4 linked regions of the Pelodiscus sinensis genome follow. The protein of the gene in region 3 purifies or fractionates together with the protein of the main gene of each other region. This does not show direct contact. Links are inferred from orthologs where the notes say so. Each region holds a gene or a part of one and is shown on either strand. Other genes may lie near its edges. The genes, in order: SSB, CCT3, SOX2 and ARID1A.

The links.
Region 1: the proteins of SOX2 (region 3) and SSB purify together in Homo sapiens (affinity purification with mass spectrometry; 3 studies listed by BioGRID and IntAct, with this or other methods). This does not show direct contact. The link is inferred for Pelodiscus sinensis from reciprocal best matches to the Homo sapiens genes SOX2 and SSB.
Region 2: the proteins of SOX2 (region 3) and CCT3 purify together in Homo sapiens (affinity purification with mass spectrometry; 3 studies listed by BioGRID and IntAct, with this or other methods). This does not show direct contact. The link is inferred for Pelodiscus sinensis from reciprocal best matches to the Homo sapiens genes SOX2 and CCT3.
Region 4: the proteins of SOX2 (region 3) and ARID1A purify together in Homo sapiens (affinity purification with mass spectrometry; 3 studies listed by BioGRID and IntAct, with this or other methods). This does not show direct contact. The link is inferred for Pelodiscus sinensis from reciprocal best matches to the Homo sapiens genes SOX2 and ARID1A.

Annotation. Positions count from the first base shown.
Region 1 is NC_134717.1:39,956,515-39,964,287, reverse strand, and holds the start of SSB (lupus La protein), read right to left. Parts: upstream 3,002-7,773; 5' UTR 2,845-3,001; intron 1-2,844. UniProt on the Homo sapiens protein: Binds to the 3' poly(U) terminus of nascent RNA polymerase III transcripts, protecting them from exonuclease digestion and facilitating their folding and maturation.
Region 2 is NC_134734.1:16,138,954-16,146,236, forward strand, and holds the start of CCT3 (T-complex protein 1 subunit gamma), read left to right. Parts: upstream 1-4,282; 5' UTR 4,283-4,425; coding exon 4,426-4,456; intron 4,457-5,655; coding exon 5,656-5,717; intron 5,718-7,283. Other genes in the region: TSACC (TSSK6-activating co-chaperone protein), read right to left, coding at 760-918, 1,418-1,486, 3,871-4,132. UniProt on the Homo sapiens protein: Component of the chaperonin-containing T-complex (TRiC), a molecular chaperone complex that assists the folding of actin, tubulin and other proteins upon ATP hydrolysis.
Region 3 is NC_134720.1:46,099,264-46,107,117, forward strand, and holds SOX2 (transcription factor SOX-2), read left to right. Parts: upstream 1-4,838; 5' UTR 4,839-5,474; coding exon 5,475-6,422; 3' UTR 6,423-7,465; downstream 7,466-7,854. UniProt on the Homo sapiens protein: Transcription factor that forms a trimeric complex with OCT4 on DNA and controls the expression of a number of genes involved in embryonic development such as YES1, FGF4, UTF1 and ZFP206. Binds to the proximal enhancer region of NANOG.
Region 4 is NC_134735.1:2,198,914-2,206,266, reverse strand, and holds the start of ARID1A (AT-rich interactive domain-containing protein 1A), read right to left. Parts: upstream 3,016-7,353; 5' UTR 2,421-3,015; coding exon 1,275-2,420; intron 1-1,274. UniProt on the Homo sapiens protein: Involved in transcriptional activation and repression of select genes by chromatin remodeling (alteration of DNA-nucleosome topology).

The sequences.
Region 1 (7,773 bases), on a different chromosome or scaffold from region 3:
AATAAGTTGTTCCTTGATTACCTTTTCAGTATACACTTGAAAATGGTGCATGGGCAGCAAGCTCACACTAAGGTCTCATACAGAATGTAAAATGCAGACTTTGTGCACGCTTTTGGCCAGATTCTGATTAGAAACAAGGATGAGGCCTTTTATCTGGTCAAGCTGCCAATGTTTTTGTACTAAAACAATTTTGATACTGAACAGTCTTGTCATATCAGTAAATGGTTCAAGCACATCAGAGGAGAAATTCTTCTAGTCAGCCATGACAGCATAAAGCTACATGAGTGCTGATTGGAGTTAGCATTTTAACAGCATAAAAGTGCCTTGTACTAGGGATGTTAAAATGTGTTTATTCTAGGAATGTAAAATCCTGTTTAAAAAGTTAACTGGTTAAACTATGTTTAATCCATTAACTGGGATCTTGGAGAAGGAGGTTGCTCCACTCCAGTCCAATCTGCCACACGGTGGGCTAGAACAGACACTCGGCCTGTGGTGTGACGGGCCTTGGCTGGGCCATATTGCCCACAGCACACTGGGCCTGCTCGGGTTGAGCACTGGTTAACTAGTTATCTGGTAAGGCAAATGCTTACCATATAATCATCTTAACCCTTTATATCCTCAGCTGATATACTCTTACATACTAAAATTAGGCCCCTGTTTAGCCACTGCTAGCTTAGTAATATCGTTTCAAAATGATTGTGTTAGCTTACTCTAGTGAGGGAAATAGTTAATTGAATCATTTTTATATCAACATCTTCTTTGGCAATGTGGCTCTAAATGCATTGGCTGTAACCAATCATATTAGCTGTAGTACACAAAATATAGCCTGGGGGACTTAAGCATACTTCTAAGTAGGGATGAATGGACAACCAAGAATCTCTAACATCTTGGATAATGTAAATCAGTCTTGTCTAAACCAGAATGCTTTAGAACTTGAACAAGATCAGTATATCTTAAAAGCAGCACACCCTTCTAGCGTGGACAGGGGTATTCAGATATAGAAGTGTTTGGGCACTGAAATAAACAGCATGGTGCAAGGTAGGTATGTGAAAGTGTAACCATGTACACAGTTTTATTGGTTAACATGCATGGTTACATACAGCCCCCTCCACCACATGTTGTTGCTGCCTCTGTATCAAAAGAGTCAGATTGTAACCACTGACTTTTTTTGAATAAAGCTAGGGATGTAAAAAAAGTTTTAAAAAAGTAACTGTATAACCATTAAATATCCTAGCAGATACATGGTTACCACTTTTGTGGAGGGGTGCCCCTGGGATACCCAGGAAGCTGGCTGCCACCCCGCACTGCAGGATCTGCAGTTCAAACCTTATACTGCAGAGCTGCAGCATGCCCGCAGAAAAGTTTAACTGTAACAGAAACCAAATAAGCTAATGCTTATGGGTTAAACGGTTAAGGCACACAGCTGAACATTTATCATCATTGATGGAGCAGGAGACCTGTCAAAACACCACACCAGTGAATCTTGAATTTACTACATCACTGTCCTGAACTACTACAACACTCTTACATTCCTAGTAAACTGTGGTCTCCAACCTTTTTACACCCAAGATCACTTTTTAAATGACAGACCAAGACAAGATCTACCGCCCTGTCCCTTCCTTAAAGCTCCGCCCCTTCCTTGAAGCCCCACTCTTTCTATTCTCCTCCTCTCCATCACTTGCTATCCCCAATCCTTATACTGCTACTTTTTTTTAAAAGGTTTTTCGACATTTGGAAGTGCTCAGCCAGGGTGCACCATGCTCCATGCAGGCACAGAGGAGAAACCACGGATCAGCTGGAGCATAGGGCAGCCTCTTTCAGCTGAAAGCCACAGTCAGCTGGCTGGGGTGTTTCAGCCCTCCTGACCTCACAGCTCCCACCATTCCTCGCAGCTACTCACCTGTGTTGTTGCTCGGTGAGTAGCTGCTCCTCAAATGAGGAAATCTAATGTAAATGTACTGTGCAGGCACGAAGCTCAGAGAGGGCTCAAGAGCTACTCTTAGAGCCCCTAACATCTACCGGTAGATCACAATCTACTGGTTGGGGACCACGGAGTATGTTAGCATGTACATGGATAACCAGTAAGTCTGGGCTTATGGGTTAACCAACACAGTTATTATAACAGAGATGGGTGGGTGGAGCCAGTAGCCAGCTCTCCACACCTACTGATCACTACAGAGTACCCTGCCCCTACACTGCTGCCTCTGATACAGAAGCAACAGTGGGGGGGTGCGGAGGGACCTTAAAAGCCAGCTCCCACCTGCCCGCTGCATATAAGCATGTAACCACTAAAAGGTTCACCAGTTACACATTTACACAAACACATGTATTTTAACATCACTAATTCGCAGTAACAGGCAGTAGGTGCTCTACATCTATCCTGACCAACGACAAACAACATAGTTAAAGCGCTCGGGTGACCCATCTACTAACCCCAGGCAAGTGCCCTTCTCCCCAACGCTGCCCAAGGAGCTGGGCTAAACCACGCTCCTTTGCCACCCGCGCCGTTCCAGCGCCCGGCGGAGCTGACGCGATGCTCCCGCGTGCCGCTTACACATACGGGACTAGCCGCCCCACACGGGCCGCTGCGGCCGCCGCGCAGCCCAGGCCCGCCGCCGCCCACGGCCCAAGCCCCGTTAGCACCGCGCGCTCGGCGCAGGGGGCCGCCGACCGAAAGCCCGGACAGAGCGGCGGGGAGGCGCCCGCAGCGCTCCCGGAGAACGAGCAGCCCCAGCCACCCCCCTCGGGGCTCCGCACGTGGGACTGGCAGCGGCTCCGCAGCGCGCCGCGAGCCCGACCCGGGCAGGCAGCTCCAGGTTCCCGCCGCGTGGCCTGGCCACAAACCTGCCGCGGGACCCGGCGAAAACAGCACCGCACGCGCTCGAGCCTCCAGCGCCGCCGCCCCGCAGGCCCCGCCCTCTGCCTTTAAAAGCTGCGCTGAGGGTTCGACGCAGGCCGGGCTCTCCCAGCAGCCCCCGCGGCTCCCAGGCCTCGCTCCTTCGCTCGCGTGGGACTCTGGGACGGGCCGTGAAGGAGGCGTGGCCAGGCCGGGCCACTGCGGGCCCGGGGCGGGGTAAAGGCTCGCGGAGCCAACGAGGCCTGGTCCAGCCCGCCGGGCTCCGAGCTGCGGCTGGGCCTGAGCTCTCACGCCGTCCGCCCCGCCCCCAGCGCAGCCTCAGGCAGCAGCGCGCCGCGGACCTGGCTCCGCCTCACCGCTCCTGGCGCGAACGTGCCGCGGGCTGCGACTAGCAATGGGCCGGGTGGCCGCCGCGGCGCTGCCGGGGCCCGTACGCAGGAGTGTCTGGGGGGGGGGGGACTGGTCTGGAACTGCGGAGCGCAGGGGTGTGAAGGCGGCCCCTGTGCTCCCCCCAGTAAGCGGGAAAATCAGCGCCAGCTTTCCCCGCGAGAGGGAGGCTCGGGCAGCGCGCCCCTGGCTGGCCGGAGCATGCTTACTTGGACGGAGGGGGAAGGTGCTTTCGCGCCCTTTGCGCCCGCACCCTTTGCATACGGGCCTGACTCACAAGAGATTTGAGCTGAGCTCGTGGGGAATCTTTGCAGAGCTTTCCCATTTTCCCATTAACGCCCAGGCAGAAGCATTCTGTGTGTCCTGCCTCTCCAGAGTAATTGCAAGGAGAGGGGCTGTGGCCGCATTGTGGGACAAATGTTTGGTTCAAGGAAACCTGACAAATAGCTTTGTGGGGTTCAAGTGTCAGGCCAAGCAGTAATCCCTGCTCCCATCCCTGGGAATACTTTGGATGGGGGCTCATTGCCACCTTATTTCCCACATCTAGTGGATCTTTCATTTAGCTTTATTGACTCTGTAAGGGGGAGAATGGTCCCGCTAGTGTGGAGAACTTTCCTGAGTTCTATACCACCCTGGTGAAATGGACCAACGAAAGGATCTGAGTCCCCGCTCCCACTTGCTTTACTCCATGTCCTCCCTGATCCTGAGGGCTCCCCCTCCACTCTCCTGAATAGCCAAGACCTTAAAACCCAAACAGGGCTGAGCCCAGGTTTCCTGGGGCTTAATTCCTGACCTTGTAGTCACTTGGGGCAGGTGCTAGAGTGTCCCCACTCTTGGATGCTGTCATCACACTGCATGCTTTCTTGGCCTACTGATCATTCCATAATGTTCAAAACAAATACAACTTATTAAACATCAAGGCTACGTCTACACTGGCCCCTTTTCCGGAAGGGGCATGTTAATTTCAACTATCGTAGTAGGGAAATACGCGGGGGATTTAAATATCCCCCGCGGCATTTAAATAAAAATGTCCGCCGCTTTTTTCCGGCTTTTAGAAAAGCCGGAAAAAAGCGTCTACACTGGCCCCGATCCTCCGGAAAAAGCGCCCTTTTCCGGAGGCTCTTATTCCTACTTTGATATTTAAATCCCCCGCGGATTTCCCTACTACGATAGTTGAAATTAACATGCCCCTTCCGGAAAAGGGGCCAGTGTAGACGAGCCCCAACTGATTAGAGAGAAAAGAATAAGAAAAAATAAGAATGGTTAAACGAGAACACAGTCCTGCTCTGTAGCATGGGGACATCACAAACAGCAGTCTGCAGAGTGTAGGACAGTTCACAGTCTCTTCCTTATAGGCCCCTAAGAGACCCTGGATGTGCTGCAGGCTGGACACGCTTGCTCTGGCAGTGACCATACAGCCTCAAGCTCTAGGTGGCCAGATCCCTCTCCCAATCTAGCCTGCTGGGTCTCTTGGCTGGTGATATCTCCCTGCCCAGAGCCTCTCCCCCCACTTTGCTGGTCTCAGCTGCTCACCACATCCAGCTGCAGGCTGTGCTGCTTTGCCAGTCTCCAGCTCCTTGCGTTGCTTCTCTGTCCCTTTTGGCTCTCTGAGCACTGCCAGTCTGCTGCTCAACACAGGGTCTGTGCTCCTTAAGCTGTGTGTGCTTGGCTCTGTTGCTGCAAAACTGCCCCTCAGCACAGCTTGCACTCCTTGGGCTGTGTGTGCCTGGCTCTGTTGCTGCAGGACTGCCTCTCCACACAGCTTGCTCCTCTTAGCTGTCTCTCAGCTCTCTCTCCTTGCTCAGAGAGACCCAGAAAAATCCCAGCTCACAGGGAGGACAGGCCTGGCTTCTTACTTTCCTCACTGGCCTGCCCAAACTGTCAGTCAGGCCAAGCTGGAGTTTTGGCTGCTTTCCATTGTCTCTGGGGTCTGTCAGTCTCATGGACCCTTCCCCTTTTGATACTAGGAGTTGGCGAACCAAAAACTCCCACAGAGTTTTATTAAGGGACTAACAGGCCCATTAAATCAGGAGTTGCCTGCCAGATTTTGTTTGCTGTATTTTCTTGCAGTAAATCTCATGCCTCATTTGTAAGTGCCATGAATGGAGGAGTTTCTGCCAAACTACTGATTCATGTGAGCAACATAAAAATCTGTGGCTTGCTAGAATATGCTGCTGCTGGTTGGGAGCACTTTATTTTTAACACAAATGCAAATTCGCATCAGCAAGGCTTGCTCTAAAGCAGTGGTCCCCAACCTTTTGAGGTTGTCAGGCGCCAGGGGGTGTGGCCGTTGGCCCGCCAGGGGCCGGGGACACTTGCGCACCCGGGGGCGGCCCCCCCCTATAGCCGCATGCCCGAGGGCGCCCCCGCCCTCAAGCGCCGCGCGCCCGGGGCCGGCACCCCCTCCCTCAAGCGCCGCGCGCCCGGGGCCGGCGCTCCCCCGCCAAGCGCCGTGCGCCAGGGGCCAGTGCCCCCCCCGCCAAGCGCTGTGTGCCTGGGGCCGGCGCTCCCCCTGCCAAGCGCCGCGCGCCCGGGACCGGCGCTCACCGTGCGCCATGTGCCCGGGGCCAGGCCAGCCCCGAGCACCTGGCGGGCGCATGCAAATGCCCCCGCGGGCGCCATGGCGCCCGCGGGCACCGTGTTGGGGACCATGGCTCTAAAGAGACTGTACACTTCCTCAATACCAATATCTGGTAAGCATCACCTGGTAAGGGTGACTAACATTGTTTACACCGGGGATTAGGTCATAGATACACGGACACAAGTTGCTTATGTAGACCAAGCATGAATCCTTCATTGCAGCATAGTAGCAAACTGAACCAACTATGAGAAAAAGTATTAAGGACAGCTCTTCCAAGCTGTACTCTACCACTTAATGGGGAAAGTCCACTATGTAAAACAGTGATGGTCAAACATGAATTATGAGTGGGCCATCTGAGTGTTCCTCCTCAACCTGCAGCCCACTGGGAATCCATCTGTGGCCCCTCTGTCCCCCTTCCCCACATTACTGTTGCACATTGGGGTACAGCTGATGTGCAGTGTTCCAGCTCTGCAAGGGAGGGAGAAAAGCAAGGATGGAATACAAATCAGGCAATTTGTGCATTCAAAGTGCTGGGATGAAGGGGGAGAAACAGGGAAGTGCGGGGCTTCAGGGCATGAGAGGGAACAGCAAGAGGGCTCATGGGCCACACGTGAAGCCCCAGTGGGCTGTAGGTTGCCCAACACTAATGTAAAACATGAGAGGTAATTGACCCATTCTGATTTGCAATGATGAGTCCTCAGGTGGCATATTGGGGGCCACTCATTTGGCCTCTCCAATTTATCATTCCTCTTTCCAGTGAGAGAAACAAAAGTGATAAAGACTTAAAAAACCTGACCTGGAGTAAAGGTTTTAAAAAATGAGGCATGTTTAGTCTTAAGAGATTGTCAAGTTCTACTTCATTCTTCAAATATCTGTTATAAAGAGGGCAGCAAACAATAAATTGTTCTGCACCTCCCTGAATCTATGGCAAGTAATAATAGGCCTAATCTGCAGTAAGAGAGATTTAGGTTAGGTATTAGGGGGGGGGGGGGAAAAGGGTAATTAAACTCTAGAATAGGCTTCCAACTAAATCTCATCACTCACTGTTTTTAAGAACAGATTAAACAAATGCCTGCCAGAGATGGTCTAGCTTCATTTGGTCCTGTCACAGCACAAGAGGCTTCACTTGTCTTCTCAATGTCTCTTCCAGCATTATTTCTATAGCAAAGCACAGTTGATTTTATGGGTGCATCTACACAGTACCCTTACCTTGCAATAAAGCACTATTCCAAAATATCCCTTAATCCTCATGCAATGAGGTTTACAGGAATGTCAGAATAGTGAGCCTGTTATATTTCGATATAATGGGCTTGCTTTTAAGATGTGGAATAGCAAATAGCTCCACAGTGTAGACATTGTCCAGTACAATAGATTACAGATCTCTGCTCCCACTCTGCCTGCATACACAAGATCTTAAAGTTTCACTAGATACTGTTAAGTTCATTAAAAAAAAGACATCTCTAGATGAAAGTGTACCTACTAGCCCCCAAAATACAGGCAGTCCCCGGGTTACGTACAAGATAGGGACTGTAGGTTTGTACTTAAGTTGAATTTGTACTTAAGTCGGAACTGGCGTCCAGATTCAGCCGCTGCTGAAACTGACCAGCAGCTGACTACAGGAAGCCCCAGGCAGAGTTTCTCTGTCCCGGGCTTCCTGGAATCAGCTGCTGATCAGTTTCAACAGCAGCTGAATCTGGACGCCTAGGACAGAGCAGCTGGGGCGCTGCCAGGTAGGTCCCTGCAGCGCCACACCTCGGTGCTGCAGGGACCAACCCGGCAGCACCCCAGCTGCTCTACCCCAGCTGTCCCCAAGTCTACCACAGGCGTCCGCGAGAAAAGCCTGGTCCACTGTGCAGCAGACCATGGAGACGCAGGCGGCGGGACCGAGACGCGCAGCGGTGCTGCCGCCCGCGCCGCGGTCCCGCCCGGGTCCTCCGTGGCTTTGCCC
Region 2 (7,283 bases), on a different chromosome or scaffold from region 3:
AGGCACCAAGCAGGGAAATGATTCACACAGCCCAAGCTCACACAGACTTGGGAATATATCCTAAGGGTCTTGGTTGTGCCCAGAGCCAGGATAGACTCCAAAAGTCATAGAATCATAGAACTGGAAGGAACCTCAAGAGGTAACCACGTCCAGTCCCCTGCACACACGGCAGGACCAACACCATTTTGATCATCCTTGACACGTGTGTCTAACCTGCTCTTAAAAATATCCAATTATGGAGATTCTATAACCTCCCTAGGCAATTTATTCCAGTGCTTAACCACCCTAATTCTAGTCCCCTGCTTTTAACTGCTAGGCTGTGTCTAGACTGGCATGATTTTGCGCAAATACTTTTAACGGAAAAGTTTTTCCGTTAAAAGTATTTGCACAAGAGAGCGTCTACACTGGCATGGATGCTTTTGCGCAAAGCACATCTTTTGTGCAAAAGCATCCGTGCCAATGTAGACGCTCTCTTGCGCAAGAAAGCTTCGATGGCCATTTTAGCCATCGGGCTTTCTTGTGCAAGAAATTAACTTGCTGTCTGCACTGGCCCTCTTGCGCAAGGATACTTGCGCAAGAGGGAGCATCAGAGTATTTGCGCAAGAAGCACTGATTTTGTACAGTACAAGGTCAGCGTTCTTGTGCAAATACTTGCGGCCAGTGTAGACAGACGGCAAGATTTTGCGCAAAATCTTGCCAGTCTAGATGCAGCCCTAGAGAACACTCCTTTCCCAAACCTGGGGTGATTCTAACACTTACAGAATTGTTTCTGTCCTTTCCATAGCTTTGCAGCCTGGGCATAGGGGAAACCTGGGCTGGGCCTCCGTTGGGAAAATGGAAGCTCAAGAAAGCTGGGGGAGGGTTTGGCAGGACATAGCTTCTTAAAAGAAGAGGAAGGGCCTTGAAAGTTGTCCTCTCCTATGAAGAAAAAAAAAAAAAAAGGCTTTGCATTACCAAGATGTTTTTCACGTTTGAATAATAATCCTTAGCTCTTCTAGAGCATTTTTCATCAGTAGCTACCCAAGCACTTTACAAAGAAGGTCAGTATCATTATCCCCATTTTACAGATGGGAATGCTGAGGCACACAGATGCAAAATGAGTTGCCCATGGTCACACAGCAAGTTGATGGCAGAACCAGACATGGAAGCCAGCTCCCCTGAGTCCCACTAGAGGACTCATCCACTGCCCATCCACTAGGCTAATAGGCATAGCATGATATGGGTTTATTCCTTGTGTAGTCATTTACACAAGTGCAGAACTCCACCATTCTGCTCCATTAGCACTTTACAGCAACTTCACACTGGTGAAAATGACAACAAAAAAGGCAGGGCAATGGAAAATCAGGCCTCAGTTGTTAATGCTGCTTTGTAGAAATCAACCAAGTATGTGTGTGAAGTAGAAATGCAATCAACGTACTTTTCAAATGTTGTTTTTCTTCCTGAGCATCTGTTTCTGGCTCCATCTGAGGAGGAACAGAGCTTGTACCTATGGAAAGGAAAGAATGCTATTATCCAGGGGAACATAAAGGAAGGAGGTTGGAAAGACACAGACTAGAATACAACTTTCTTCTTTGCTGTGTGTGATAGCCAGACACATTTTTTTTTTTGTAAACAGGGGTGACTAAAAGAATGAACAATTAGAATAGATAAAGTCATTTTATATTGCAATAAAGTTTATGACCACTTGGAACTTTACAGTGATACTCATAGCACATGCTGAGGGCCGCAACTTAAGTGTGGTTGCATATACACGTGTATATACAAATATATGCAAATAGCTTGTCACACTGATGGGCATGAATACAAAGATTAAGGCAAGACTATACAACCTGCAGGCCCCATTTAAGTCAGTTCTGCTGATATTAATAAAATGCAATATTTACCGGATTTCCACCCATATGACAGCACTTTTAATGAGCAATGATAGTCCAGGAATTTAACTACTAAAATGCATATCTAGAGAAGACCATTATATTGAATACTTTTTTTGTTTTGGCTCCCATCCATGTGTTGAGCCCAAACTGCTCCGCCGGCCACACACAAACGAGCCAGGGGCTGCATGTTGATTAGCCCTGAGTTATATGGTTGATTTACACCATATCCATATTTCAGGAGGCTAAAAGGAGAATCTTCTTTAGATTATAGCAATGTACAGCCTCTGGCACACAATTCATTCTCTTTCCATGCACAAGTATCAGAGGAGTAGCTGTGTGAGTCTGTATCTCCAAAAACAATGAGGTGACCTGTGGCTCTTTAAATACTAACAAATTTAACAAGGCATAAGCTTTCATGGGTAAAAACCACTTTGTCAGATGCATCTGACAAAGTGGTTTTTACCCACAAAAGATTATGTCCAAATAATCTGTTAGTCTTTAAAGTGGTACAGGACTCCTTATTGTTTTTCAATTCACAGTGGCCTATCACAACATGTATCAATGCACATAGTTCTCTGTAATGTTAACAGAAGAGATAATACTGAAAGACAAAGAAAAGGGCATTTACAAGTGAGGAACTTGCTTTTAGAGAGGTGTGATGGCACAGTCAGGGTCCCTCCAAATCCTGCAGCAGCAAGAACAGACTCCGCCAGTGGAAGAATAGAGAGAGGTTTATTGTTCCTTCAGGATACAGCACAGCACATATGTGATGTGGCTACAGGGGCCAGGGCCACGATGCCTCAGACACTAGGGTTAGGGGTCCATCGCCCCTAGGCCCCAGCTTAGCCTCTTCTCTCCATGCTTCCCAGACAGCCACTGCCTCCCTCCCAGGCCCTGCCCCCCCAGCCAAGTGTTGGTCTCCGCCTTCCTCCCTTTGTCTCTCTCCCTGGGAGGCCAAGCCTAGGTCTGTGTCTACATTGGTGCGATCTTGTGCAAAAGTGGCTGCTTTTGCGCCAAAACTTGCTGCCTGTCTACACTGGCTGCGAGTTCTTGCGCAAGAACACTGGCGTTCTAATGTATGAAATCAGTGCTTTTTGCACAAGTACTATGATGCTCCTGCTCAGGAATAAGCCCTCTTGTGCAACTGTTCTTGCACAAGAGGCCAGTGTAGACAGGCAACATGAATTACTTGTGCAAGAAAGCCCTATGGTTAAAATGGCCATCAGAGCTTTCTTGCGCAAGAGAACGTCTACATTGGCATGGATGCTCTTGCGCAAAAGCACATGCCAGTGTAGACGCGCTGTTCTGGAAGAGTTCTTGCACAAGATCATGCCAGTGTAGACGTAGCCCAAGTGTCTGGGTTAATACACATTTGGGAGAGTCAGTGAGAATCTCACATCACAGTGCAAGGGGACACCGGGTTACAGAGCAGACAGCACCCCCACTACGCCACAAGAGGCAATGGGTGTTTTTGCACTGTAAGTCCTGGCTATTTGATCTGAGGAAGTGGGTCTGGCCCACGAAAGCTCATCATCTAATAAACCATCTTGTTCGTCTTTAAAGTGCTACATCGTCCTGCATTTTTCTTCAGCTACACCAGACTAACACGGCTACATTTCTATTACTATCCTGACTCCACTGTGTGTGGAGAGAAGTTGGGCAGGATAGTGAGTCAGTGGTACCCAGCACAGCTCCCAAAGGTAATACACATCTGTGCTCAATGTTGTGCATAGCCGGATAGCCCTAGCGCTATCTTACGCAGCTGGGGCATATGGCTCGTTGTGAAACTACAACTCCCATGAAACACCAGTGAAAGGAAGCCCCAGGTTAGGCCTACAACTCCCATCGTGCCTCAGGAAAAAAACTACGGAGCGTGACAAAACGTAAAACTACAATTCCCAGCATGCCCAGGAGTAAAACCGCAACTCCCATGATGCCCAGTGTGAGTGAGCCTCCCCCCGCCCCCCCCCGGGGAAGACTACAATTCCCAGCATGCCTCGGCGGAAAGGACTATGACTCCCGGGTCTTCTGGGGAAAGCCAGCTCTCTATAGGGCTCTGCTCTCCTCCCCGCTCGCCTCTGTGGCCGAAACCCGAACGTGACGGACACAGCGCGGAGCGGGTTCGCTTTCCTTGTCCAGCCAACTGCTGTTCGCTTGTGCGCATGCGCCTCACTTTCCTCACCACGACCGCCCGGCTCTCTGCATATGTGGGCTTTACCTCTGCCGAAGCGCTGCGCAGGCGCAGTTTGGGAGCGCATGCGCAGTGTTCCCTGTCCACCCCCTTCCTAACGGTGGTAGTTCCCAGTTGAAGCCGCACGCGCTGAGGCGGTACGTCTCAACCGAGCTTGTGCAGAAGCAGGGGGCGAGGCCTATTGGCGGAATTCCGCCTCGCTATTGGGTGCCGGGCGTTTGGCTCGGGCGGCGATTGGCCGGCCGCGGCGACGGGCGGGGTAGGGTGTCGAGGCGCGGTGAAGCGGCAGTGCTGGTAGGAGCGTGTCTGTCTCCAGAAGGTTCCGCGCCGGCTTCTTAGCTCCCAGACGCCGCCGCCAGGATGATGAGCCAACGCCCCGTGATCGTGCTCAGTGAGTGAGGGGGGGGCAGCGCGCACCTTGCTGGGGGCCCCCTAGTGTAGCTCCCGCCCCTCCCCCATTCGTGGGGGGGGGGGGGGCAGAAAACCTTCCCTCAACCCCCCCCCCGGAAACCTCCTCCCCCGCTCTCTGCACCTCCCCCCACCCCCTAACCCATGGGTCGTGTCGGCTGGGTCTCCTGTAACCCCTCCCCCACTGCGCTATAGGTCCCTGCGCCCCTCCCCTGCTCCACGCCCCTCCCCCACTCTCTTCCTCATTAGTGTCCCCCCCCCCCCCCCCGTGAGATTTTTTTCGTACCCCTGCTGTAGGCTCCACAGCCCCCCTTGGGCTCCCCTCGGCTCCCCCTCCCCCATTTTATCCATCCCCACTAAGGATGCAAGGTTGTTAAATGTTTAACTGGTTAAACGGGGGATGGGTGGGGTTGCTCCAGCACCCAACTATTAACCATTAACATCCCTAATCCCCACCATCCCCCTTGTTTCCTGAGTCATCCTCTCCATATAGCTCTCTACTCCCCCCCCCCCCCCCATCACCTGGTACCGAGAGTCCTCTGGTCCTTCTGCCTTTTTTTTCAGGTTCTTCCCTGATATTGGTGCCGCCCGCTAAGATCCACTCTTCTTGGGTTCTGCTAGAGTTCTTTCCATTTGCATGTCTGTCGTTTCTCCAGTATATTGTGTAAACACCCACATTTCTGCTCCAGCCTTGGGGGTCATCCCCTATAACTTCCACCCATTTAGGTTCCCCTTCTTGTTTTCCAGCCTTTCTCATCTTATGTGCTATTCCTCTATTTTTCTAATTTTTTTCATCTGTGTGGAATAAATTTTGAGTACTAAAGCATGTCCTTATGTGCACCACCAAAAGAAACACATTAAGTTACTGTGCAACAATGTTATAGTAGATTATCCAGAATATTGACTCATTTGAACTTTCAATCTTATTGGTTCTATGTGGGTAAAATTAAGAAAGCAAGTTGGTATAATTTTATTCTGGTGTCTGTACCTCTTGGATACTCTTATTTAAATGGCTGGATTCATTTAGAATTGGCCGTAATTCACGTACACATAAATAGAATTGCATCCTTGATATGTTGTCAGTATTGTTTCCTCAACACTAGATTTCCCATTAAGAGTTCACAAGATCAGATTTCAGTTGTATTCATGCTGTTGCTATTTTTTGTTTTCTGCATGTCATAGGTCAGAATACAAAACGTGAGTCTGGAAGGAAGGTCCAGCTTGGAAACGTCAATGCTGCCAAGGTACTGTTTTATGTTATGAAGTATGTTAGCAAACTAGTAATCAAAAGGTGACAAACACAGAATCATGAACTTGAAACATTTTCAGCAGCTCCCTTGACATCACTATTATTCACTTGGTATTTTTTTACAAATTTCACATGAAGAAATGCTGATCACTCTATTGCTGTACTTAAACAACAGCTGCAATTGAATATAACTTTTTGTTTTAGTGACTACAAAAAAAGAAAAGAAAAATTAAACGTTAATCCAAAACTTTACTTATGTCTGAACCTTGACATCTTGTTTAGCAAGTAGCTTGGAGTAATGTCTTGAGCAGATGATTACGTCCAAATACAGTAAAACCTGTGCTATCCAGCACTTAACTAGCCGGAAAACTTTAGAAACCTCCACATTTCTGAGCCAGGGAACAACTTGTTAAAAGCAAAAAAAAAAAAAAAAAAGAAACTGGTGCTTTAAGCTGGGCCGCTCCTCAGACACTCCCCCTGCCAGACGTGCATGCAGCATGTACCTGGAGGAGGAACGAATGGCTGCTCTGACCGCCTAATACCGGCCGCATCCTGGCAGCCCCACGGCTTGTGGCTGCCTGCCCTCCACCCTCTCCTCCTGGCAGCCCGGCATCACCTGCAGCTCACCCCCGCCAATTCCACTCCCCCCCCTCCAATCAGGCTGCATCCTTCCTCCCCCTTCCCCCCCCTCCCCCCCCCGCCAGTGGCTCGTGGCCCTCCTCTCCCTAGCAGGCCACATCCCGGCCCCCGCACCACCTAATCCCCGGATGTACCGGATAACATAGGTTTTACTGTGTTGTGTCTGATGTCCGAGTAGAAGTGACTGTTATCTTAGCCTTCATGTTATATTGTCATGCCTGGTTAAATCATACTCTTGCTGCATCCAAAGAACTCTAAAATAATTGTCATTTGTGTTAATTACAAGGTCTGCATTTTCTGTGTAGTTAGACGAGATTATTCAAGTCCATTTGGAATTTTGAAGCACTAATGTGTAAATGAAACCCTCAGTGCTGATCCCAGCATATTAAAAGGAGACAGCTTAGAATCAGACTGGGTAGCCTCATATTTAAGAGTGTAAAGCAATAATTGAAACATTAGACTAGGTCTGAATCAGTTAAATTCTTCAGTGTTATTTAAATGAAGATTAAAAGCAGAAACTACACACCTAATTCTTTCAACAGGCACAGTGTGCATAGGAATTTGTAACCTGTTACATGACATTTAGGCCAGTGGTCTCAAACCTTTTTACACTCAAGATAATTTTTTAAATGTCAAACAAGCCAAGATCTACTGCCCCATCCTTCCCCCCCCAACCCCACCCCTTTCTTGAAGCCCCGCCCTCTCTGTTCTCCTCCTGTCCATCACTTGTTATCCCCAGCCCTTATACACTCTCAGGGTATGGCTACACTGCTGCTTTTTTTTTTTTTCAATTCTTCTGTAGGAAGACGGTTTTCAAACATTTGGCCTGTCTACATTGGGCCAAATGTCATAAAAACCCCTTTTCTCTCGTGCATGTTTGCTCTTCTGCTAAATAAAGTGGAAAAACAAACGCGACCCTGGA
Region 3 (7,854 bases):
GGCACAAGGAAGGAATGCGGAGCTCGCTCTGCATTCCGCAGCTTTTCAAGAGTCCTTAGAGTCCTTGAATGAAATTATTGGGTGAAATTGGGTTTGGCTGAAGCATTTGTCATCCCCACCCCATCCCACCCCTCGTTCGTTTGTACGTATAATGCCACTTCTGAGCATTACAATCGGGCTGCTTGCTGGACAGACAGGAACAAAAAGCAGATTAAACAGTTTTAAATAATCAAAAAATATCTAAAATGTAAGCAGGGTGGATTACACTTGCTTCAGCGTGTCCATTCCCTCCCCCCTCCCCGTTCAAATTATTCACCTTCCACTCATCCTGACCCCCTCCAGAAACCAACAACCAACACGGGTTTAGGGAAGCGGAGTTTTGAAAATGGGGTGGGTTTTGTAATCCCTTCGAACCGGGACGGGAGAGAGGGGCGCTCGTATCTCACCCTCAATTAGGTTACTTCCAACGCAAGTTTTGAAGTTGATTTCGGTGCCTTTAACAGCCCAGAGATTGTTATTAAGGTTGTGAGGCTTCCCTCTCTTTGAAAACTTAACAAGGTAAACAAAATATTAAGCGCTTGCTTTGTAAGCTGTTTAAGATGCAAGCTTTTGTAATTAGTTGCTTCAAGAAAGGCACACAAAATTGTCTGTTTTCCTTATAATATTTCAAAGATTTCACGACATTGCGGCATTTAAAGAAAATGGCTAATCAGCTTAACTCTTACTTGTAATATCTTCAGTACATGATCCCCCCCACGCCCCCATAGTTATTAATGGATGTAAGTGAACAAAGCTTTCCCTATCAAAACTACATCAGTATTGGCCTGAACCTTGGTGTTCTTCTCTGGGAGACTTTCCTCTGGGCGAAAAAAAATATTTTGGGGTATTTCTCCACCACCACCTTTTATGCTTCCCATGTGGTATTTTAAAGTTACTTGGAGATTGGGTTATATAGTTAGCGTGGTAAAACTTCCATTGGCTAACTTTAGCTTCTCCTGTGTGGTTAACTGGTTCCAGAATTAGAAGGGGGGGGGGGTGGAGTTGTCTGTACATTTTCGTCTTTAGATTTTTTTTAACGTAATGAAATTAAAACTTTTGGAGCTCACAGTTGACATTTTGCAGAAAATTGAGTTATCAAGGCAGTAATTATTTCACAGGGAGATAAAACTCTCATAGCCCTAACTGTCAAATAGGGCCCTTTTCAGATTTTAATTACAAAATAAAATTAGTCTGCTCTTCCTCGGAAGGGTTTGTGAGTGGCTAAACAGAGCTTTCCCCAATACTGGTGGTCGTCAAACTCTGCTAATTAGCAATGCTGAGAAATTCCAGTTAACAAGGACATTCTCTAAGTCTCTGCAGGTTCCCTGCCGTTCGCCTTCATTTCCATAAGAAGATTAAGACTGGAGGGGAACACACTCAAATGCAGATGCAGAAAAGAAGCGTTTTTAACAAGCATCATAATAGTAAGATGCTTGGCTAGTTCTCACCTAATTACTGCAAGTTAAACCTCTATTTGCAGCTAAGGACAAAAAATAGGGCTGAAATCTTCCGTCTCCACAAGACTGCTTAATAGTTTGCTTTAGATTTGTTACTGGTAGGGTCAATACAGAAATAATCTGTATGTATTATTTCTTTTACAGTTAACACGATAGGTTGTATCTTCCGCGCTTTTATAAGAAATTGGTGGGTAGAGCCTGTGTCAGAGCAGTAAATAAATAAAAATCCACGTAGTTAACATCAATTTTCTTGTTCATAGACTCAACCTAGGAATAAAAGTGACTGTGCCTAACAATCCATCGCTGAGAAGGTTTGCAGACTAGTAGTTTAACGTAAGCACTTTTCATTTCCATAAATTATACCAAAGGCAACGATTTTTAAATTCATTCAGATTACACCATCCTTCTCCAGGCCTCCTTTTGAAAATGTCTATATTCTTCAATAGAATGTTGTTGTTATTCTTGTTAATTATTAAGATTGAGGTACTCCGATTTCATGGAATTTTTTTTTGTATATTGCTTAAAGGAGTAGCCAGTAACCCGATATAGGGAGACACATATGTATACAGGAAACTGGGACATTTTTCTGAAAGAGCTATCTCTTTATCTTATTTTCTATAGCACATTATTATGTATATATGCCAGAGACAGTTTATTGCATTGATAAGTAAAACACCGTTAATTAAAATAAAGCTGTAAATACTCATGATAACACAATTGTTAGGTATTTCCATACCTTATTTATATGATAAATGCAATTAACAAAGAGCCAAGCCAGCCACTTTAACCTCTTCAATGTGTTATTATAGAGATCAGGCACAAATATATGCATCTAGTTATGTGTAAAATCTCTCCTTGCGTTGCCTCAGCTGAGAATCACATACACACAAAATTCCAACTGCTTCTGCCTCTGTAGCTGGAGCGGAGAATAAAAATACGCCTTGGTTGTATAACACCAGCCATCAGTTATCAATTTATTACGATAAACAAACACCACTACCACCCACCCCCACCCCCTTTTTTCAAACTTAATTATCCATAAGATTTTTTGGAATAATGTTATCAAGTGCAGACCAAAGCATAAACAATAACAAAGTAAATAGTTGGTGTGCCCTCGGTAGTGTCTGGAGAATCAGGATTCGTTTATATCTTGAATCTCATAATTTGTACCTATTTTTCTATGGTTTAACCTATCACTCTATGGGCTATACGTACATTTTCGAATTAAACACATTAACTCCGGTAGGTTATATTTGCATAATCCATAAAAGATGCATTCGTGCTGTTGGGGTTTATTTATTATTTAGATTACATATAATTATTTAGTTCGTGGGTTTCCCCCCTTTCCTTTATTATTTCAAAACATTTTATTTTCAAAGTAAAGGGAGGGACATTCTCTGGGAGATAAATCTACCAGTAGGGGGCGCAGCAGTCCCATACCTGTAACCCCCAGCTCAGAAAGTACAAGGCAGCCCTCTCTCAATATGCCTCATCTCCTTTTGTGTGTGTGTATTTCTAAATCATTCTTTCAGCATTTTGGTTTAATCCGATGAACAGTTTAAATATAGAAGATTTTACAATCTATGTCTCTAAAGAGTAAAATAAAAATATATTTCGATGAGGGCGATCTCCCCCCTCCCCACCTCCTTTCTGCCCTCAGCCCTACACTCCCCCAATGCTTTTGTTGAAACAAACTTTATTTAAAAAGCTGGAGCAGTCTGTTTACGATCCGGTGTTTTCTTGTGCAGATTTAGCCGACTGAACTTGGGAGAGCCTGAAATCAGAAGCCTCACACTTAGGTGCTGGAGCTGGTGGGGGGAGCTGAAGCACCCCTTGGTTTGAAGTGGTTTCCATTATATACAGGATTTCCAGTTTGGTTGAACAGTTCTCAGCACACACATACCCCCGCTATAAAAATTGCCCCAGAACCCCCGGCCTCACACACGCCTCGGTACAAAAAGGGCGTAAAGGGGAGGTGTGGGCGCAGAGGCACCGCGAAAGAAAATAATCTATTTTCCCGAGTTAACAAATGGAACGTGCCTGTCGATAGAAATCGCTACATTTTCAGTTTGGGGGGAAAGTTGAGGTGAGGGGAAGCCCCTGATCGCTTAAGCACTTCATAGAAGAGAAATGGCGTGAGGCTTTTTCTTTTTCTTCTTTCTTTCTTTCTTTGTACTCAAGTGCATTTTAGCCACAAAGATCCCCACAAGAGAGTGGAAGTAAACTTAGCCGGGGCTTTGTTTGGCACCGTGTAGTGACAACAAGAGAAACAAAACTACCTATTTGTAACGGACGTGCTGCCATCTCTCTCCAGCATTGAGCTCCCACCTATTGAAATCTTTACATCGGGACAATGGGGGAGAGTCTAAAATTACCCTCCGGTGTCTAAAGCGCATTCCCCATTTCTCTCTCCGGTTCCTTGTCTCCTGCCCACTTTCCCGCAAGTCGCCTCACCTCCACGCGCCCCGTCCCAGCACCTGGGCCAGGCTAGCCCGGGCACTGCTGAGCCCCGCGTTGTGCAGGGGACAGTCCCAAAAAGTACTTTCCATCTGAGAAATAAGTGGCGATGGGGCGTGTGAGGAGATCGATCCCCTTCCAATACAGACCTCGGGGCTTGCTGGTCTTTTTGTTTGTTTGTTTTTCAATGGGCCTCTCCTTTGTAGGGACTTGTTATTAGGGAGCTGATGGGTACATGGAAATACCGTGTATTTAACGTGGTCCCCCCCTTTGTTTAAATTAGACACACTAAAAAGCCCCTCTTTCTGGGAGGCTGCTGGAGTGGAGGACGGTTTGGGTTGTTTTCCTGGGTCTGAATGGGGAAGGGCCCGCGACGGGGAAGTGGGGAGGGGGGAGGGAGAGGCGAAGGATGCAGCCAAACCCTGGGCTCGGAGGAGCGCGATCAAACTTCCCTGCCGTTGAGGAACAAAAGAAAGGGATTCAAAAGTGGGCTCCGACGCGCAACTCCAGCATGCGCGCACCGCGCGGCTGGGCCGAGTCCCCAGGAGCCGAGGAGCGCTGGGGGGGAGGAGGGGGCCAGCTGTGCTTAGCTGGCACGGCACCGGGTGAGCGCCCCGTTTAGGGTGCACGTATTGATCCGGTGTTAATCGGTGCTATGGGGGGAGGGCGCTTAGGACTGCGGAGGGGCCGGGGTGGAAAACATCCCGGGGGACACAGGGCTTCCGATGCTTTCTGGAAGGAGACCAGGCTTGGCACAGCTGTGCCCGTCCCTGGCTGCCCCAGTCCAGTGGCTTTGCCCTCCCCTTCTTTCCCCCAGCCCCAGGTTTGGGGGGGGGGGGTTGTTGTTGGGTTTTTTTAATGTAGCAACAACGCTGTTTCCCCCACTTCCTCCAACAGGCGTGCGTGACCTGTTGCTGTCAGAGGAGAGCCAAAGGCTTCCCAGTGGCTGCCTCGCCTGCCTTGCGCACCCGCCTCCCCCCGCAGAGCCGTCCCGGCGGCGGCTCCGAGCCCCCGCCCCGTTTCATGCAAAACCAGGGGTAGAGACTTGTGCTCAGTGGAGGAGCCGGCGCGCGCTGATTGGCCAGGGCAAACGCATTTATTCCCTGACAAGCCCCCATCACATGGATGGTTGTCTATTAACTTGTTCAAAAAAGTATCAGGAGTTGTCAAGGCAGAGAGAGAGAGAGAGAGTGTTTGCAAAAGGGGGGAAAGTAGTTTGCTGGCTCTTTAAGAAGGAGCAGGGAGAAAAGGAGGAGGAAGAAGTTGTATTTCCACCAAGGCTCCAGTGATCATAATAATTTTATTATTATTATTATTATTAATCCATCCGCCAAGAGGAAGCCTCGAACCCTGAGCCAAGTGTGTGTTTTTGGGGAGTCCCCCTCCCCCTTCCACACCCCTCCCTAGGAACGACAACAACAACACCACCACCAAAAAAAGTCCAGCTTGAGACTTTCCTGTGGCGGCGGCTGCATCTCTCGCTTCTCCGCCGAAGGCTTGTACCAGGCAAGAGCCGTTTGAATGTACAACATGATGGAAACCGAGTTGAAGCCTCCCGCCCCCCAGCAAACTTCGGGGGGAGGCACGGGCAACTCCAACTCGGCAGCCAACAACCAGAAGAACAGTCCGGACCGGGTCAAGCGACCCATGAACGCCTTCATGGTGTGGTCCCGGGGCCAGCGGCGGAAGATGGCCCAAGAGAACCCGAAAATGCACAACTCCGAAATCAGCAAGCGGCTCGGGGCGGAGTGGAAACTTTTATCCGAGGCGGAGAAGAGACCGTTCATTGACGAAGCGAAGCGGCTCCGCGCCCTGCACATGAAGGAACACCCGGATTATAAATACCGACCCCGGAGGAAAACCAAGACCCTCATGAAGAAGGATAAGTACACATTACCCGGCGGCTTGCTGGCCCCCGGCAGCAATTCCATGACCACTGGGGTAGGGGTTGGGGCCACCTTGGGCGCTGGGGTGAACCAGAGGATGGACAGTTATGCGCACATGAACGGCTGGACCAACGGAGGCTATGGGATGATGCAAGACCAGCTCGGCTACCCACAGCACCCGGGCTTGAACGCTCACAACGCGGCTCAGATGCAGCCCATGCACCGCTACGACGTGAGCGCCCTGCAGTACAACTCCATGACCAGCTCGCAGACTTACATGAACGGGTCGCCCACCTACAGCATGTCTTACTCCCAACAAGGGACCCCGGGGATGGCCCTGGGATCCATGGGGTCCGTGGTCAAGACAGAGTCGAGCTCCAGTCCCCCCGTAGTCACTTCTTCTTCCCATTCAAGGGCTCCATGCCAAGCTGGGGACCTTCGGGACATGATCAGCATGTATCTACCAGGTGCTGAAGTACCAGAACCAGCTGCCCCAAGCAGACTTCATATGTCCCAACACTACCAGAGTGCACCTGTTCCTGGTACAGCCATTAATGGCACACTTCCTCTATCACATATGTAAGACAAAAGGGTTGGGGGGGGGGGGGGAGGAGGGAGGAAAACTAAACAAAACAAAGAAACAAACAAAAAACACTTTTATTAGAGATTCTGGACTTTTTTTGGACTATTTTTGTACAGAGAAAACTGGGGAGGGCGTAAATAAAACCATCAAGGAACTTGTATAGATCTGGAGGGGGAAGAAACTACACAAAACTTTTAAAAAGTTCTAGAGAAACGGTAGGAACTTTGCAGAAAGTTTGCAGAAGTCTTTACCAATAATATTTAGAGCTAGTCTCAAAAAGCGACGAGAAAAATGTTTTAATATTTGCAAGCAACTTTTGTACAGTATTTATCAAAATAAACATGGCAATCAGAATGTCCATTGTTTAGATAGAAAAAAAAACTTGAGAATTTGCCAATTCATAAAAACAAACAAAAAATAAAAATAAAAACAGTCGACTTGGAAAATCGTGATAACTGCAGCTGAATTTATAGCAGCTGTAGAGTGGATATTATTTTACAAAATTTGGACATTTTAATTGTTTTAGAAATTGTACAAAAGGAAAGAAGTTAGGATACGTACTTGCAAAACCACTGAATTGTTTTGCTATAAAAGAGCAAGAGTTTAGATTGTAATTTTTTGTTTTTGTTTTTTGTTTTTTACTTATTGTTAAAAAGCAGAAATTGCCATGCAGGGTCACACGCCGTTTGTTAATTTATAATAGCTTTTTTGTTTCCAAACTTCATCCTGTTCAGATTTAAAAAAAACAAAAACAAAAACAAAAAACACTGAAATTACTGTGTTTTGAAATATTTTCTTATGGTTTGTAATATTTCTGTAAATTTATTGTGATGATATTTTAAGTTCTTTTTTCTTATTTTCCGTAGTTGTATTTTAAAGATTCGGCTCTGTATTATTTGAAATCAGTCTGCCGACAGTCCATGTATATATTTGAACTAATACCATCCTTATAACAGGTACATATTCAACTTAAGTTTTTACTCCATTATGCACAGTTTGAGATAAATAAATTTTCAACATATGGACAACTGACGTGACGTTTGAGTCTTGGATTTATTTTTGTAATTCAAAATGTTTTTTTAAAGGATTCGAACAGTTTAAGATGGCACTGTGGTTAGATGAGTATTATAAATAATACAGCAATATAGATAACAAATGCAAATATGATCATTTATTTGTAAAATGGACTTTCATTACTAGGTGTGACCAACTGAGCTGATCTTTTTGGATTTAAAAAAGTGGAGTAGGCAACTTACAATGTATACATGTCATTCCTTTAAGAAAGGGTAAGAGGACGTTTGGCTACTTTGCTGGTTCACACCACTTGTTGCCATCAAAAGACTGTGGTCTGAACAGGAGTCTTGCAACAGATTTAAAGTTAAATGGAAAGCAGTAACATAATTAGAGGGACTGGAAAGGCAACAAAGAAGAG
Region 4 (7,353 bases), on a different chromosome or scaffold from region 3:
GCATCCTTAGAGCCATCAAAGAAATCCTTTATACCAATGGGAAAGTCACATAACCAAAACAAACAGCAAGCCCATTGTACAGAGAACCCCTGCTACTCTTCCGACAACACAGAATCTATTCCAGGCTGTATAAAACATTACAAGCAAAATAAATCCAAGGTACAAACAAAATGCCATCGCCTCTTCTTTTGTTTCATGCACAATGCAACAAGGGCAGCCTGTCTGGAACTCTGCTCCTGCTGATACAGTATTGCTACTGAACTTCCTCAAGGTCACAGCCAATTTCAGCTGTGGAATAAAAAGGCAGATAGTGGCAGTGATGGTTTGGGTTATGGCTGGCAGAAAAGCAGAGTGTAAAAGTTTATGAGCTCATCAGGATTGTTGTACCATTACATCAGAGGCAATTATAAATGGCCAAGAGCAGGAGATGAGGAGCCAATCAGATCACAGATAGGATGTCAACCTAAGACCAACTGTCTCCTGGCTTTGACAGAAGGATTTTACCTCCATAATTCAAATCCCAAACCAAAGCAATCTGCACTTACTACTCCAATCGCTGAACTGTTTACCAGCACTTCCAGGGAGAGGCCCAGCCACTGGGCTAGCCAAGAGACTGCTCAGGAAAATGGCCACAGCTTGCCTGGGCAAGCTACAACTGCCCAAAGCAGGCCACTTCCCACCTTCCTACCCCCAGGAAGTGAAAAGGCCCCTCACTAGGAGCAAGAAGAGGAGAAGGAGGAAGAGTGTAATGGGGGCAAATGTGTAAGTGCTGCTCTGCAGAGTTCCCACTACCTCTGTTCCTCGCACCCCATCCCCAGCCCAGCCCCGAGGAGCTCAGCTACCCACCTTCCCCTCATGCACACAAGCACCACAGCGCCAAGCCCTTCCTCCACCCCAGGGCTCCCTCTATCTCCCCTCAAGAGCCCCCAAGGCAGGCAGGGGAAGTAGGAAGCTGAAGGCACCTCTCTAGAAGCCTCACACAAAGGCTGGAAGGGGAGGAAGAGTAGGCAGAGAGGCAGCCATTTTAGAGAGAGAGACAGAGACAGACAATGGCAGCTCCCCAGCAATGTGGGTCCAAGTAGGGGAGGGAACAGTAAGAAATTCGGCCATCTCGTGACCCCCTCCATATCCCCACGTGCCCTCATCCCTGCCCTTGAGGAGGCCCCTCTTCTACCCTTGCCCCCATTGTCCTCAGCCACCCCACGTGCGCCCATCCCCTACTCCTAACCCCATTCCCTATCCCCACCCGCATCCCTCCCGTGCCAAGCTCTCACCTGCTGGGTCCTAGCGAGCGGCTGTCCCCCTCCAGCGCTGCTGCTCCCGGGGCTCATGGGCGCGTGGTGGCTCCTTTGTTGCCCCCCTCCTGTGGCCGTAGCCCAGGCCTGGCTGTTGCCCCCGCCGTACTGGGAGGCCATATCCGCGGCCGGGCCTTTGGAGGCGGCTCCTCCGTCCTGGGGCCCGCTGCTGTAGTCGCCCCCGGGGTAGCCCTGGTAGCCACGGGCTGAGCTGGGGGAAGTGAGCAGCTGGTTGAGGGTGGGAGTCGCTGTGGGCTGCGGGGTGGCGCCCCCTCCTCCTGCTGCCCCGCCGGCGGCCGAGGGCCCCATGGCCCCGAAGCGCTGCTGCTGGAAGGCGGCGGCGGCGGGGGATTTGGCCCCGGCGGCCGCTTGCGCGGGGCTCTGCGCGCTGCCCCGGGGGGAGCTCAGGGCGTAGGCCTGAGGGGGAGGCGGGTAGGCGCCGGCGCTGCGCCCGGCTGCCGCCGGGTAGTAGGAGTTGTACTGGTGGTTGGGGAAGCCGTGCTCAGCACCGCCGTGCGAGTTCTGGGGAGGGGGCGGCCCCGAGGGGGCCCCCGCCGGTCCCGGGTAGGGCTGCTCCAGGCCCCCGCTCTGCAGCGCTGCCATGCCAGGGCTTTGTTGTCCGCCATGTTGGTGGAAGGCAGCCGCGGCGGCGGCAGCGGCGGCAACAACCTGGGCTCCCCGGCCGTAGGGCTGCCCGAAGCTGTAGGCTGGCGGGGGCAAGGCGGCCGGGTGCGAAGGGGGAGGCTGCTGCGGCGGCGGCTGCTGCTGCGGCGCCCCCACCCCGTCGCTGCTGCCGCCGCCGCCGCCACCGGGCGGCTCCGGGAGGTTATTGTTCAGGGTGGCGGCGGCAGCGGCGGGCCTGGGGCCCGGATTCCCGTTCGAGCTCTTCAGGTCTGGCTCGGCCCCGGCGTCCCCTCCGTTGCTCTCGGCCCCGTCCTGCAGCTCCTTTCCCGGGGGGCCCTCGCTCTCCGCCTGCTTCTCTCCGCCGCCGCCGCGCTCCGCCGCCGCCTCGCCCCCCGCCTCCTCCGGGGGACAATCCCGCTGATGCGCCTCCGCTTTCTTCAGCTCGGCGGGAGCCGGGGCGCCCAGGCTGCTGGTGGTGGCGGGGGCGACCTGCGCAGCCATGATCCCCCCCTCCCCACCCCCCGGACTCCTGCCCCCGAGCTGCTCCCCTGCCTGGCCGGCCGGCGGGAGGCCTCACTGCTCTGCTGCTCCCCGCTCAGGCGGCGGCGGGCTCTTCAGGGCAGCGGGGGTTCATTCCCCCCGGCCTGGCTGGCGAGGCGGGGAGGGCTCCGCTGGGCTGGGCTCCCCGGGGCCTGGCCCCGCTGTGCCTCCTCGGTTGCAGCCGGCGGAGAAAGGGGAGGAGGGAGCGGGGAGGGGGGGGAGGAGGCGGGGGGACCCGGGACGGGGCTCCCGGCGTGGGAGAGGAGGGAGGGAAGGGGACTCGGCGGGCGAGCGGACTCCGTCCCTGGAGCCGGGCTGTGCGGTAGGGTGGCCGGACTAGGCAAGCCGAGTAGCAGCTCCCGACTCTGGTCCGCCGAGTCCTGCTCACTCCGACACGAGGCTCAGCACTGCCATTTTACCCAGCTTCGCGGCGGCCTGCCAAACCTGGAGCGGAGCCCGGCTCGGACTGGAGCCTCCCCCCTTCACAAAGGAGGAGCAGGCAGGCCTCGGACGCTTGCAACTCAGCAAACCTGAGGCCGCTGCCGCACACAAAACCCGCAGTGGATCCCGCGGAGCTGAATCCAACCTTCCGCCACAAAAGGAAGCTCCCTTACTGCGAAACACGGAGCGGATTTCAGCCTGAGCGAAGCGGACTGCCACAGAGTCCTCCTCCAGAAAACACGCACCAAAGCGCTCCCCACGCAGCTCTACTGCCCGGCGCCCAAAAAGATGACTTCAACGACCAGAGGCTAGTGTTCATCTGGGCTAAAGGAGAACAAACAGAACTGCATTAACCAAAGGGCTGGGAACTAGGACTCCTGAGTTCTGGACTAACTGCAGAAGTCAGGAAAGCTGGGTTTTCTCCCAAAACTGGGATATTATGCTGGCCACAGGACCAGGCATGGATCTGAGTGCCTGGAGTACAAGGACATGCAGGCTGGGTTAGTCCAGGGGCCCATTCCATCCAGCATCCTGTCTGCTAATACTAGATGCTTTAGCGGAATTTACAAAAACTCTAAATGGAAAATTATGAAATAAGCTGCCCTGAGGGAAGTGTCTTCCTTAGCCTCTCAGGGTATGGGCCACAAAGGTTTGGAAAAGGATTCTAGCTACCAGTCAGTATCATGCACTGCAAGTTTCATAGAAGGATATGGAACAGAGCCTATTACTTAGGATGTCTAATGTGATCCAATTTTAAGTGACTCTACTTTTGGGGGAAATTTTTACACTGCATTGTTTGCTACAGGCCTGTGAAGTTCAACCAGAAGAAAGACCCTTGGGCTAGATAAAAGCCTTTTCTTCGTCCCAGGATTTTCCATTGATTTAACTGTTCTAAACTGTTAAAAATTTCCATTTCCTGTCTGTTGCTTGTGTTCCTTTGGAAAATGTTGGCAGTATGCCAAAATACTAACTGAACATAAACATGCTGAAGTCAGGGGCTTACACTATTGCCAAAGCTGCAGGCACTGCCCTGGGAGCTGGGAGGGGACAGGGAAAGATAGAGCAAGCCACGCCCCTTCCCTCCTCCCCCATTACATACCCTTCAGACCAATCATATGTCCTACCTCATTTTCATCATTTTCTATGAGAGCATCACCCAAAGCAGGACTCTCCCACCTCAGGCTCCTCTCATAACTACACCAGATCCATACGGGGCAGAGCAGCATATGTTCCCTATTCCAGAGGACCACATGGGGCAAATATCTTTCTCCTGATAGTGAGACAAGAAAGAGAGCCAAGTCAGGCCATCCCTGTGGATACAGCATATTGCTCCAGCAGGCCATCAGCAGAGTTAGTCTTGTAACTAAAGTGATGCAAGTAAGGCCCCGCCCCCCTTACAAAAACCCAGGAGTCTTGCAAAAATATATTAAAAGAAAGTTAATTATACTGCAAAGTCAAGCAGTTGGAAGTTAGGAAATGTCACAGTTGGATTTGCTCATTCAACCTGAATTCTGCCCCCTTGCAATATATACATTGATATATTCCAATTATACAGTATGTTCACAATATTTTTTTCCACAGGATTCTTATCTTATTCAGATAACAGTTTGGATAAACATGGAGCTGCATTAAGGTTGCATGGATTATTGTAAATCTGATACTTCCTATCTTTCAAGCGCTTGACTTTACAACCTAAAAAACTTTTTGATAAAAGTTTTGTGTCTGTAATACATATATAATTATGTAAGTTTCTTCTTGGTAATCAGATTTTTAAAGAGTGCACAAGTTATACAATTTTGTTTCACAATCCTATCCATCAGCACCCTTTGTCTTTATATGATCTACTTTATAACCTGCCCCCATTGATGATTAACTGGAGTAGAACAGGCTTTTGTATTGGAAACCCCATCTCTTTGAAGCACCATGTACACCTACAACAAATGCAGAAATAGGTAACAGATCACTCCCCAACGCTGTTTCTCCCATATGTGAAATGAGATTACTACTAAATCTGTCCAACATCTCTGTGAGAAAAATGTTCACAAAATACTTGCAAGATCCTTTAATGTAAGGATCTCAACAATGAAAAATATCATTGCTAACAAGTCTCGCATTACATTAGTACCTGCAACACTATTTTTCAGTTTGGATCTTGATTCCATGCATTGGGCTTGGAGAGGGCATAAAGCAGTGGTTCCCAACCTTTTGGGGCTGCCAGGAGTCCGGGGACAGGGCCGCGCTCGTGCCACGTGCCTAAGGGCGGGGCTGTGCAGGCGCCACATGCCCAGGGTTGGGGCTGCGCATGCACCGCGCATCTGGGGGAGGGCTGCGCACGTACCGCATGTCCAGCACTGTGCGCCCGGGGCAGGGGCCACGCATGCATCGTGTGCCCGGAGCCCGGGCCGTAAGAATGGCTTGGGCTGGCTTTGGTCACTCAGTGGGCGCACATAAATGCCCCGGCAGACGCCATGCAGGCACCATGTTGCGGACCACTGGCATAAAGTATAGCAGGTGTACTTCATTGTCCTAACAGTGTAGTTAGTTATGAAGGACAGAGACAGCACTGAATTTTTTACCTCTCCTGTAACTTTTCTTTCATTATGTGAATGTTGCAGCTGCTATTTTCTGATATAATCAAGTTCTATAACCCAATCACCATTCTCACAGTACATTAGGAAGAAGGGTTTGGTTTTGGTTTTTGTTTTTTGTAAAAGGGAAGTTTTACAAGAGATATAGAACTGCTACACAGAAACACTACCATAAGAAAACATACTTCTAGGGGGAAGGTAAAGATACAGTCTTTCAATTCCAGAACATCATTTCAAACCAAAGGGCAGTAGTTCCCAGTAAAGATGATCAGCTGTTACATTCTTAAAGCATATATGAAATGGATTGGTGGTCTCACCCATTTCTTAACTATAGTCCACGTCACAAAAAGCATTATCACAGCATCTTTGATGGCAGTCAAAGAGGCCAAGCATAGGACAGTAAGTAGGGCAGCACCAGAAACACTAAATGGTCACTGTTAATACTGTGTATGCTTTACAATAAACAGAAAATGTCAGTGTCTGATGCAATCAATTAACCAATACATTTCAATACAAAAATTAGAATATAACAGGTGTTAAAAAACAGAAGTGACTTCAGAGTAGTAAGCTGGGGTTGAAGTTAGCACAAGTCAATGATTAGCTAAATTCAGAATGTATTCCACAGTAACAAATGGCATTACAGGCTCCAAAACCAAGGCCATGTTGCCATTTTACAGCAGAATGTATAACAGAGTAGATTCCACCTTAGCCAATTGGCCTAAAGAAAGAGGGGATTCTTTTCTTCTCCTCCTCTACTATTTTACTTAGGGTTGCAATGGAATAATACATAATAATAGCTACAGTATTTTTAATAGTATTAGTATTTATTTTGTAATAGCCACCCAAAAGCTGCTCTTAGGATTGGTGCCACAAAAACATATAGGAAGACACAATTCTTACTAAAAAATGTATAGTCTAGTCTAAAACAAAAATTATATGATAGTATAAAGCCAGAAAATGGATTGGAATCTCCTTCACAAGATGCACTTTACCAACTGCCACGCAATTCTAAAACAATTTCAGAGGGCTTCATTTGGGTTGGATTCCAAAAATCACCAATATTTTCTTTTTACCCATTTGTAAGTCTATCACAAAACTTTTCCTCTAGCAGAGGAGGGTTGGGCATGGCATGTCTTTATATGCTTGCCCTATGAGAACATCACTATTAAAGTGTATGAAAAAAATAAAGGAAATGAACAGAAACCAAGCTAGATTCTCACACAAAGGTGGCCCTGTGGCTTTACCAAGTTCTATGGTGGGCTGTAAAATCCAAAGAAGATTAAAGAGCAACAAAACGACAGGATACCCTTTTCAAGGATACTTCCCCCACTTTAAATTTTAACAAATTTTAAACCGCTGCACATCAAGCACAAATAAACTGGAACAAGCACTACCATTTTATCCTGAGTAGAAACCAAATTAGAGTGTGCCTCATGAAATTAAACTTTGCCATCTCATTGGACCCCTTTAGAAGCTATCAAATACAGTCCAGGAGCCTACATTTCAGTGTAAAGCAGTGATACTCAGACTGAGGCTTGTGAGCAGCAAGCGGCTCTTTAATGTGCCAAAGGGATGATACTTGGTCCTGCTGTGAGGGCAGGGGACTGAACTCGATGACTTCTCAAGGTCCCTTCCAGTTCTATGAGATGGTATATCTCCATATATAATTATAATTATATTATATTATATTAAGGTGTCTTCTCCAACTCTTTGCAGTGCAAGATATTAAAACAAAGCATGTGATTTAATTAGTAGCCAATCAGATGTTTTTACTATGTTGTTAACCAATTGTAATTGATAAAATAATTGATCATTTTCAGTGAGAATTCATATATGTGTATGCACAACACACATTCTAAATATTT